3 linked regions of the Schizosaccharomyces pombe genome follow. Changing the gene in region 3 together with the main gene of any one other region gives a genetic interaction. Each region holds a gene or a part of one and is shown on either strand. Other genes may lie near its edges. The genes, in order: spf38, rtf2 and lin1.

The links.
Region 1: mutations in lin1 (region 3) and spf38 together harm fitness more than expected from each alone (negative genetic interaction), as found in Schizosaccharomyces pombe (one large-scale study listed by BioGRID).
Region 2: mutations in lin1 (region 3) and rtf2 together harm fitness more than expected from each alone (negative genetic interaction), as found in Schizosaccharomyces pombe (one large-scale study listed by BioGRID).

Annotation. Positions count from the first base shown.
Region 1 is NC_003423.3:4,402,493-4,406,392, reverse strand, and holds spf38 (U5 snRNP complex subunit Spf38), read right to left. Parts: upstream 1,964-3,900; 5' UTR 1,833-1,963; coding exon 1,788-1,832; exon of another isoform or gene 1,747-1,787; coding exon 1,642-1,746; exon of another isoform or gene 1,604-1,641; coding exon 1,531-1,603; exon of another isoform or gene 1,482-1,530; coding exon 1,222-1,481; intron 1,177-1,221; coding exon 933-1,176; intron 872-932; coding exon 576-871; 3' UTR 507-575; downstream 1-506. Other genes in the region: U1 snRNP-associated protein Usp109, read right to left, coding at 1-366, 406-422; adn2 (transcription factor), read left to right, coding at 3,546-3,900. UniProt on the Schizosaccharomyces pombe protein: Involved in mRNA splicing where it associates with cdc5 and the other cwf proteins as part of the spliceosome.
Region 2 is NC_003424.3:651,610-655,174, forward strand, and holds rtf2 (DNA replication termination factor Rtf2), read right to left. Parts: upstream 1,664-3,565; 5' UTR 1,626-1,663; coding exon 1,613-1,625; intron 1,570-1,612; coding exon 1,154-1,569; exon of another isoform or gene 1,090-1,153; coding exon 967-1,089; exon of another isoform or gene 921-966; coding exon 750-920; 3' UTR 616-749; downstream 1-615. Other genes in the region: phosphatidylinositol synthase (CDP-diacylglycerol--inositol 3-phosphatidyltransferase) Pis1, read left to right, coding at 1-239; 3' tRNA-processing endonuclease tRNAse Z L2 Trz1, read left to right, coding at 2,165-2,549, 2,587-3,565. UniProt on the Schizosaccharomyces pombe protein: Putative splicing factor that is required for the correct splicing of a subset of pre-mRNAs. Required for the correct splicing of rtf1, a replication termination factor that mediates site-specific replication termination at replication barrier RTS1.
Region 3 is NC_003423.3:1,524,964-1,529,112, forward strand, and holds lin1 (U5 snRNP complex subunit LIN1), read right to left. Parts: upstream 2,154-4,149; 5' UTR 2,003-2,153; coding exon 1,885-2,002; exon of another isoform or gene 1,839-1,884; coding exon 730-1,838; 3' UTR 614-729; downstream 1-613. Other genes in the region: chaperone, AAA family ATPase Rvb2, read left to right, coding at 1-542; protein Emc7, read left to right, coding at 2,943-3,512.

The sequences.
Region 1 (3,900 bases), 2.9 Mb from region 3:
GCAATGCTAGTTGAAGTCCCGTCAACACAACGTAGAACACGAGCAGAAATAAAGTTATAACGTTGAAACAAGTATTTTATATCATTTTCAGACACTTCTGGATCAATGTTACTAATGAAAAGCATATAGTAACTAGGTTTTTGCCATTCAGGAACCACATCTAAAGAGATCGGGTTCCCAGATATTAATCGTTGAGTAGATTGCCTTTCTAAAGCATTCCTAGCAGCATCTTGACTCTCAAATTCAATGCAGCAAGTTTTTAAAATAGCTCCCGACTCGCCATCTTCATAATAGTTTACTTTTCTAACATTTTCAAAAATTGCTCGAATATAGTCCTCATTCATCCATTCTTCTAAGTTATTTAACCTGTTTAATTAGAAATAAGATTAGATGATGTATCATTACCATAAAGATGTACTCATAACGCATATAATTTGATAATTAATCGAAATCTAAGAAACTTGTAGTTATAGGAATTATAACAGGCTTGACAACTAAGATCGTCAAATAATAAGTTCTACAGAAAATTTTAATAGTATTTAATGTTTATTGAAAAATTATTCATGAAATAAAAATTAATTCAATTCCCCAAGAAATATTGTTCGATCTGAGGAACATGAAAGAATGATGTCCTGATGTGGATGAAAGTCAACGTGATTTACTGAACCCTCATGTCCGGGTAATACATAACGTAAATCGCCTGTGGCTGACCAAACATATACGTTTTTATCAGAGCTACCAGCACCAACGAATCGTGAATTACGACTCCAGGCAACACCTAACAAATTATGCTCCTGTCCGTGAATAGCTCCTTCAAAAATTTGCAACTGTCGTTGAGCAGAAGCAAAAGGTTTTACATCAAATATTCGAACTATAAATTAAAATAGCATTAGTACAAAGGTTGATCAAACACCCAAAAAAAATTAGCATACCCGTGTTGTCCATAGAATTAGAAAGTAAGCTAGATCCATCTTTAGATATAGCCAAACTAGTAATGATATCTTTATGCCCTTTCAGAACATGCGAGCAGTGATTGTTTCGTAAATCCCAGATTTTAATAGCTCCGTCAATACCACCGATAAAAACTTGGGTTCCTTGCTGCGCTATTGCGACAGCCGTTAAGGGATATTTTTCTTCTATTGTTTTTATGCAGTCTTTTGACCGCGAGTCCCATACCTTAAATTTAGTAACTATTCCATATTTTAATAACAATATCCATACCTTCATAGTACAATCATCACTTACAGAAGTCAGAAGTTCGGAACCAACTTTTAAAACGTCTAAAGCATTCACCACGCCAGCGTGGCCTTTATGCTTCCGGATTTTTTGACCAGAGACAGCGTCCCAAGACATGAGGTGTGTATCGGAGGAAGAACAGTAAACTACGCGTGAATCCCTGCTCCACTGTAAATCAGTTATGGCTCCCTTGCAGCCATTTAATACTCCGTAGTTTTTAACGTCACCAAACACATTCCAAAGAACTAAACCACAGTTATTATAAATCAACATTTTAATTACAGCTGCACTTACGTATCTGTCTATCCATACCGCCAGAAGCAAAGTATGATCCAGAAGGATCGAACCTGGCGACTAAAACTTCAGCCTAAAGCGTTAGTATGATTTATTTCAATACAACCATACCGTATGCCCAAACATCTGTAGGTTTGGAACATTGAGATCAGATGTTCGTTGCAATACAGAACCCTCCGTTATTAAGCTAGAATCTTGGATTCTAATTCTTTTAACCTATTTATATTAGTGCATGTTTTTTTAGCAATCGAACATACTAAATGTCCATTAGTCGCACTCTCCGATTCCTTTCGTTTATCCATTTCCAGTTTACTATATATAATAACTGCAATTTCTGATTGACAGTTTTCAGAATTAGAACGTAAAATGAATAGCAGGGACGGGAGTGGAAAATATATAAAACGGATCGACAATCGTCGCAGGGGTTTCTGTCACAACCAAAATACCAATAAATCGGACTTTTCTTTGGTGTTCAAATAACGAGGAATGATGAGCTCATTCCTATAAACAGGACTTAAAGTAGAATTTATATGAACAACATTTTGATTACAGGCAAAATCCCTAAAAATTTACCCTTCTCATGGAAGCCATTTAAAATTCGTTTAAACAGTATAAATAAATTGTAAGAAATATCTATTCCGTATACTATATACAGACCTTGTTTGTGCTTGAGGAAAAACACTAGTATCAATTAATGTCTTATAATATTTAACGAGCGGCTTTAATATCTAGTCTATCTCGATTTTACCACCATCAAAAACACTTGAGAAGCATTTTGCCATTAGCTAAAGATGCGTAATCACATTTTTTTTGGGTATAGTTATTAACAAATTTTTCTACTTAAAAATTGTATGTACGGTTTTCTGGGCTGAATTGTCTATTCTAGTCGCCTCAAAAATTGAAATATAAACAACGAGATAATCACTGATTAGGTATAACCGCATACAAAATTTCATAAACTTTCTCCCGTCGAATATATTTGTACTTTAAGAAATTAATTTTTGATTAATATCAAAATCCATAATTCTACAGGGAATCTAGCATGGCAATAATAAAGGATTATCCAGTAGATAGTAGTTCTAAAGCCGGATTATAGCATTTGCAATGAAAGAGAGAAACTAAATTTTCTACTTGATAAAAAATGAATTATAGAAAACTAAAATGTGGAATATGTGAAACTAAACAAATTTACGCAAAGCTTCCAATCTTCATGTAAGTACTTTCTAAAAACTTGTAGTGCCAAAATTAAGCATCTTGCTTGATTTACTGAAAAACACAATTTGCAACTAGTTTTCGAATAGTGAACACATTCCAAAATCTTTACTACTAAAAGCATTTCTAACAACTTTAGAAAATGATAATATGAGTTCCAGTGCTTAGTATTTACATCGCTAACTTATGTAAAAAGCTGTAGATATGTATATTTTCCAAGGCAAGGTAAATAAAACAAGAATAATTGATACTATCTACATAATTACAGCATTCTTACAAAAAACTGCGGCTAATAGTATTCTTAATTCATTATGATGTTTTTACGGATGAAGAAATATCAATTTACATTTACTTTCTAAACCCACCTATCCCTTAATTCCACAGTTTTCAGTTAGTAAGTTTGCATATATAAAATCTGAAATTACCACTGGTTGATTCATTGAAAGTATATCATCTTAGAACCATATTTTAATATAGCCCATTTTAGATAATTCAAATCCGAATATATACATAATAACTATTATTAAAAATGTTTTTAGAGCATGACTTGCCTTGGAAAATAAGAAACCTCTATAGAGTTTTACTCTTCAAGGGTTTTGATTTACTCTGTAACTAAATTCAAACATAACATTTATGATTTTATGATTTTCAGTAATTGATAGAAAACTAAAATGAAAATATGATATACAAAATGTTGCGGTAGTATAGCGTGCGCAGATCTTTAAAATTATATATCGCCAGCGTGCATCGTTGTAGATCCATATTCTCGTTCGCAACACCTAACTTCTGCACATTTCTAGTTTATGGCTGATCCAGGTTTAAGGTCCGGCGTCGGATTGCCAAGCCAGCAAGGACAGAAACATGATTTACAAAAAGATCAAAAACAACCGCACGTAAATAATGCCGATAGGACCACACAATCCTTACTGAATTCGTACATATATGATTATTTAATCAAGAAGGATTATTGTGAGGCAGCCCGAGCTTTTGGCCGTGAAGCACAAGTACAAACGCTCGTCAGAAGTCAAGAAGAAACCAATTCCTTAGCTAAGCGTCACAAAAGAATGTCTCCTGTTGCTGTAAAGCATGAAGGTATAAGTAATAATGAATCTTCGGATGAAAACATGAATGTAAATAACGGTAATTTAGATTCCTTTT
Region 2 (3,565 bases), on a different chromosome or scaffold from region 3:
CTCTTTATTTACTATCTTTTACCCCACGTACTCCTCCCAAACTTGGCTACTTACCAGTTCCTTCCTTCATTTATTCGACTGGAGAGCTCCCTCTTTCCTATCCGACCCTTCTAGCCGTTTTATGTGGTCCTATTTGCCTTGCCAAACAAATTATTAACGTTGTTCAGCTGGTGAATGCTGCCAATGCCTTGGTTAAAATGGATGTTGAGCAAAGAAGGGCTGCAAAGAAGCTTCAATAAACACAGGGTTATCCTATTTTCATATTTTCTGTTTACCAAATTTTCTATTTTTAATCAGGATGGTTTCAATCTGAACATCCTCGACCTTAGATCTGCAAGCTTACTTTGTGCATTCTCTTTGATTTTACCTCTTATAATTCAATACCTTTTTTTTGACATTTTCTCTTTCTAAAAGCCTTAATTCTATTGGGCTAAGCACTTTTGTGTTAAGCTTAGCCTTTGGGATTATTTTCTGTCACCTTTAAAAGCTTGGTTGGAGTGATTGCACTGATTAATAAAAAAATGCATCCACAACGTGAAGCCATTCGTCGAAAAGCTTATTTAGAAATAGAATGCTTTACTTATTTAAGCGATATAACTTTCACTTTACTTCAATAAATTTAATCGTTCGTTGCATTAATTTAAAAACATTGTTTATGATAAAAAAATCCTATTTAAATGTACATAGTAGATTTTTTTTTAAAAGATAAATGTATGTGTGTATTAATTTACCCATAAATAAAGCGTCCCTCAAATCTTCACCCTTTTTACACGTTCCATGTCAGTTACACTGGTCTCAGATTTTACGTTTTCTCCATCCAACATTCTATTTGTCCGCAATTCATGCTTAGCGTGCTTGCTATTTGATTTTGAAACATGTTTTCGTTTTTTATCGCCGTTTTTATTTGATTTCTTTGAAGCCTAAGTATGTTAGTCATTGCCGAATTTTGAAAATTCTGTGAAGTACCTTATTTAAACTGTGAGTCTTTTCAGATAATGCGAGATCAAGAAGGCGTTTACTTAATGTTTTTAATTGCTCAGCATTCGGGTTGATGGGAATAACGTCTTTTTCCTCGTAGACCTGATTACACTGATGTTGTGTTAGCAATAACTCAAGGGTTGGAAATGCTTTTCTTAGCTATCGATAGACTTACTTGAAAACACATTTTCTCGCCAAACTGCTTCAAGGCAGAGTATTCAAATACATGACCGCAAGGCACTATGTAGGCGAATTGGTATGTATCAGACATTACATGTCTTGTAATCGGGCATAACCATAGCACTTTACCGGAATCATCCAGCTCAACTTGAAGTTGTACCACGTCTTTCAGTGATTTTATATGAGAAGGGCTTTTCGGAACACTTGACCTATCTAACAGCATTTGTAAAATGCTTGCTTTGTTATACAGTTTTCCTAAACCACACGATACAATTGGAGGGTATAAGGGCTCATCCGTAATGGCACACTGAGAAAATTGAGAAGATTTTACAGAACGTTTAAAGTCTATATCAAGCGGCGGTACTTTGCCAGGCTCTTTCACTAATTCGTTTCGGGTTGGTAATGATCCTCCTAAAACATGTTAAAATTTAGAAGCAAAATAAACGAATCCTACCGTCATTTCCCATAGTTTACTTGTGTGTATTAAATATTACAGAGTAGTGTTAAGTAAGCATATTTCAAAGAAGCGCTTACATTCCACGACTGCATTTACTGCATTCTACTATAATGCACTAAAATTAAACGTTAGGTTTCGTTACGCAAGATATACCGAAATGTCAAATACAATTTTCGCTTCAATGATCTTCGCTTATTTTTAAACCTTATTTAAATTGCAAACATTTGTGATGGGAATACGTAGTTGCGTTAAGGACTTACGAAAGTATACACCAAAAGCAGCAATTTTTCTTCTACAACAGCTGGTTTGTAGGTTTCAACTACGAGTTAACTGCTTCTTTCATACATCTAAATCAATGTTATATGAAACATTTTGTGAAATCCGAAACCTCTTACTCTTAGTATCCAGTTGAGTTCGAAAATTGGTACTGAGTAGCTATTAGTATTTTAGGCCCCTTTACTTACTTTTGTTTTTGTTAACTTAGATTTCGGACCCTTTTTTTTTTATTCATATTGAACCTTTTCCTTTTTCTTTTTCAGGTCGTGTTAAATGTCGAAAACTGTTAATTTTAGGGCAACAAAAAATTTCTATTTACAATTTGTGAGCGTCAGTTCTCGGGATACATCTTGTATTCCCTGCATCCACTTATTTTTTGATTCTAAGAGGTATGTATTTGGAAGCGTAGGGGAAGGTTGTCAAAGAGCTATACTCTCCCAACAGCTTCGATTATCAAAGATTAAAGATGTCTTCTTAATGCAAGGATCTTCAATATCATCACCAGATACATATGATTCTTCTTCTTCATCGTCTACTACCTCTGTTTCTGATATGCTACAGCTGGATGATCGGGACAAAGTTATTGTATCTGAACGTAATAGTATGTGCTCGACTGTAAACTATCCTACATGGTGGGATTCTTGTGGTGGGTTTCCAGGTAAGTGTTAAATATATTTAATAATTTCTGACAATAGGCTTTTTGCTGTCTCTCAATGATATTTCGGAACCTGGGGAAACCGGAGAAGCTAGTCCTTTTGTCCTTCATGGACCTAGTGAAGTTCATCAGTTTTTATCTTCGATGCGGCATTTCACTTATCATACGAATGTAAATTTAACGGTACAGGGATATACTTCGGCTGAGGCCCCAGTATTCGTTGATGAAAATATTTGTGTAACTCCGGTAGTTGTTTCACTAGTTAAAAATTCTTTTAAAAAAAGGAAGCATGAAAACATTAACAGAGGTACAAATGCAAGACCATTAAAAGAGGATAGAGCAAATACTTCTCCTCATTGGTATTCTCACGTTTCCAATGATACATCATTCGTCGTTGAGAATGCAATGTATAACACTCCGGCTCCTTTGGAACCAGACAAGCCAGAGCTGTTTATTTCTTATATTGTTCAATCCCATCCTACCCCAGGGAAATTTGACGCCGCAAAAGCAAAATCGCTTGGTATCACGAAAGGATTAGACTGTGGTAGACTCGCTCGAGGAGAACCTGTAACTCTTGAAAACGGAAAAACAGTATATCCAAAAGAAGTGATTGGTCCTTCTATTCCTGGCTCCTCCTTTTTTATTATTCATTGCCCCAACGAACTCGTAATTGACTTGGTCATTGAAAATCATAAATGGACAAATGCACCTAAACCTGTTTGTGTCATTCATTCGGTTACACCAGAAGTATACAAAAATCCACGTTATCAGAGCTGGATTTCTTCATTCCCAAGTGAGGTGAGCCATCTAATTGCTTCGACTGAAGTAAACGAAGTAATAAATTATCCTAGGAGTGCAGTCGCTATTGCAACACTTAATTTGTTAGATTCAAAAGTTTTTCCTTTAGGCTTTAACTGCTATGAAGTTAAAAATGTACAAAAAAACAATCGAATTGCTTTTGCCAAACCCAAACTGCGTTTTGCGTTTGGAAAAAAAACTGGTATTGACGATTCGGAAGT
Region 3 (4,149 bases):
TCCCTGGTGTACTTTTCGTTGATGAAGTTCATATGCTAGATATTGAGTGCTTTTCTTTTTTCAATCGCGCATTGGAAGATGACCTAGCTCCTATCGTTATTATGGCTTCTAATCGAGGAATTACTCGTATTCGAGGTACAAATTATCGTTCCCCTCATGGCATTCCAGTTGATTTGTTAGATCGTATGCTGATTATTTCTACATTGCCCTATTCCCATGAAGAGGTAAAAGAAATCTTGAAGATTCGCTGTCAAGAAGAAGATGTTGATATGGAGCCTTCAGCTTTAGATTACCTTTCCACTATTGGTCAGGAGACTAGTCTTCGCTACGCATTACTTCTTATATCTTCATCTAATCAGGTTGCTTTGAAGCGCAAAAGTGCTACGATTGAGGAGTCCGATATCCGACGTGTTTACGAATTATTTTTGGATCAAAAAAGAAGTGTTGAATATTTAGAGGAATACGGAAAGAATTACATAACCGAAAATGAGTGGTCGGCTTCAGGTGCACAAGATAATGCAGTTGCAATGCAGGAAGATTAAAAGCACTAAAGACGAATATTTTGTTATAGTTAAGAATATGAAAGTATTAAATAGCAAGTCTTTATAAAGGTTGCAAGACAAGTTTAATTTAGACTTATTTATCGAATTATAGTTTTCCGTTAATTCAAAGGTACAAGCTATAAGTTCTGTTATATAATGAAATAAAATAGTTTATTATCCACTTTGACTATTTCTTTAAAGAAACTACATCGCAAAAGCAGATATTGTTAGGATACATCCATTCATCCATATTTGCTAATTGTATAAATGCTGCATGCTTGGCATCCGTAAAATAACCTTCATTACTCCAAGCCTGTATTTGGCTTGCGGTATAAGGGCCGTACGTCTTATCGTCAAATTCCCACTTAAAGTTGTACTGTGAAGAATTTGAGTCGTCGTAACTAACAGGAGAAGACCATGAATTTGACGTGAGTTTTTGATAAATTCTTTGAAGAGATTCTCTAGTTTCCGAGTATATATCTTCCTTTCCAATTTTATCCTCTAGAAAAGTTAGACCAGCAGTTATAAGTTCTATTAATTTTTTCCGAAAAGCGTCAGCACTTTTCCTTTCAGGAGAAATGCCCTCTGCGGTATTATTTTTCTTTTTCTTATACGATTTTTTGTTACCACTTTGTCTCTGCAAAAATTCTAAAATACTTTCATCTCTCTCCATTCTTGCGATAAAAAACGATAACGCTTCAGGAACCGTGGAAAAAGGCAGTTTACTAAATTCTTCCAATTCTTGATTCCTTCTTCTGTTTTCCATTTCCTTACGCTTCTGCTCCGCTTCTCTGGCTGCTGCAATGCTTTTTTTATTAGAAACACTGCCATTGAGCCATGCATCATACTGAGACTCTGGGTCATAATTTTTTCGTATGAAATTACCATTTTCGTCAAAATCACCCTCCTCCATATCTTCTTTTAAGTTAAAGGACATTCGTTTTGGGCTTGAGGGAACTGATATCTCACTGCCTTCTTCATCCGCGTCGAGGTCGTTAGCCTGATTTGTATCTTCTTGGCCTTCTATATCTTCATATCTTAACTTTGAATACTTTCCGTTATCGTCCTCATCATCAGAATCGTCGTTCAAAACCTCTTTATTTCGCAAACCTTTATGTGCTAATCTTTCAGCATCGCCATTTTCAATGAAATCACGTCGCTTTTGCGCTTCATCATTTGGCAGAGTACGCTTCTCATCTTCCGAAGTATCAGAAAACATATCTTCCGATTGCCCTTCCTTCTTCTCTTTATTCAGAATTTGGTCTTCATCTTCTTCAGATTCAGATTCATAATATCCTGTGAATTGAATGTTAGACAGAAATCAACAAATGAATTTGCATACCCTCTTCTTTTGTCCTAGGACGTTTTCTCCCTACATTGCTTACATCGTATTCAAAAAAAACATCGTGAACATCACCCACTGTACTCGAATTGCCAGGGTTTCTGAGCGTACGCTTCATTGTTCACACAAAATGTAGTTGCAATTGCGAACTCGTTATGAGTGCAAGATTATTAAGTGTTAAATCTGAAACAATAGAAAAAATAAAATGATTATACAAAAATAAATATTACCAAAAAATAATGCACGACGAATAATAATCTCATCCTCATGCTATAGTATTTTTTTTACATGCAGTTATAAAATTACGTAGCTGAAAACATCTCTGTTAAAGAACGTTTAGCAAAATAAAGAGATGAAGCATTATCTACTGACAACGAATAAGTGATTGTGCGTTATACCAGTAGTATATTGATTATTGATTCTTTCTTCAAAATAAAAAACTACTGAAAATTAATCCTGTATGTACAAAACAAACGTGAAATTTTACAATTTCAAAATCATATAATAATATCGCCGTACGTAAGAACGGTATCATCCTGAGAGTGACATTGCATGTGAAACTTGGTATAGATTCGCTGTATAACAGTAAAATAAGACATCAAGCTCTCATTCAATTCAAAAAATTCTATTATGGAGTGACCTTTTTCCATTTAATTTGCATTTTATCTTTAAGATATCTGCATTGTTATCAAATATGTAATTATTTTTCTATTTACCTTACTATATAACAAGCTTCGTATAAGTGTGGTATTTGGAATCCCATAGTTTCTTATTTTTCGTTATCCTATTTACTGATAACTGTTGGAGCACGAAGTAAGGTCATTCATCTAAAAGCAAACACTGTAGTGACTTATCAAGTTCGGAAAACTGTTCTTGTTTATTAAATTGCGCATTTTCTTTCATCTATTATTTTCTTATTAAACCTCAAGATTCGTTTATTATCTGACCCTGTTTGAAAATTAATAATTGACATTCAATAGTCCCTGCTCAACCGTGGACATCCATTCTTTACTGTCTCACAATTTTTTGAAAGCTACCTTCTTTATCTATTAAAAAAAATGAAATTACACACATTTTTGCTGTTATCGGTTTTATGTTTTGCTGGTTGCATTCAGCAATCGTTACAAGCTGAAGTATATGGAAAAGTATTAACCAATACTATCCTTCCCAAGATTAATTTATTGTCTTATGATACCAGAGCCAGATTGATCTCTAGCAATAAAACGTTTGAGACAGTAGTGGAGAGAGATGGTAGTTTTACATTTCCCAATGTCCCTGATGAAATATATTTCTTACGGTTAGAAAGTATAGACTATGAATTCTCCGAATTTCACATCATAATCAATGAGTCGATCGTCTACCCTTACTATACTTCGCCTGCCGAAAAACGTCCAGCTAGTTCGACCGCTAAGAATACTAGTTATCCTATTAAAGTCCGTGCTGTTCTAAAACGCGATTATTTGAAGGAGCCAAGAAAGTTTTCCCTGATACGTTTATTAAAAAGCCCAATGATGTTGCTTTCCTTAGCTTCTGTTGTTCTTGTATTTATCCTTCCAAAACTTAACATTGAAGCCAAGGCATTGGAGCAAGCTAGGCTTGCAGAGGCTGCTGAGAAAAAAACTGCTTGATTAAGCTACCTATAATAGTTAGTGAAACTTATTTTACTTGGAATAGGAACTTGTCTTGCAGAAAAAAGGGAAAAAAGTGGACCACAATTGGTCAACATTTAGATTTCAGTTTTTTCTTTGACTCGATAATTATTTGTTAGTCAAAATTCTATTCGGGCATTAAATCATGCTCAAATGTAGAAAACTATATCTTCAGTAGATAGAACTCGTAGTCAATTAATAGAATTCGTTTGCTAAAAGAATTGGTACTAAATGGGAATTTCGAAAAAGATGAACAGTTGTTTAATTTATTTCGCTTATTGATTCAGTCATTCCCGTTTAGTAATATTAGCTTCTGAAAAATTACCTTCACCAAATTTTCTTTAAAGTCGCTAGTTTGTAAACTTGATGCCTTTAAATGCAACAAAAGGTAAATATAGATGCAAGGAAAATAATAGAAATTTAGTGTAAAATATTTTATCAATTTTTTTTATTTACTTTTCACACCAACCTTCTTCGTTTTTATTTATCCATATATCAACAACGAATTTGACAGTGTAATGTAGTTCACTATATGTTGACATTACGTAGCACGAAGCTAACCAAACCAAACCCAACCACTTTTTTTTTGCTAATTGTATATTTAATAGAATTAGTC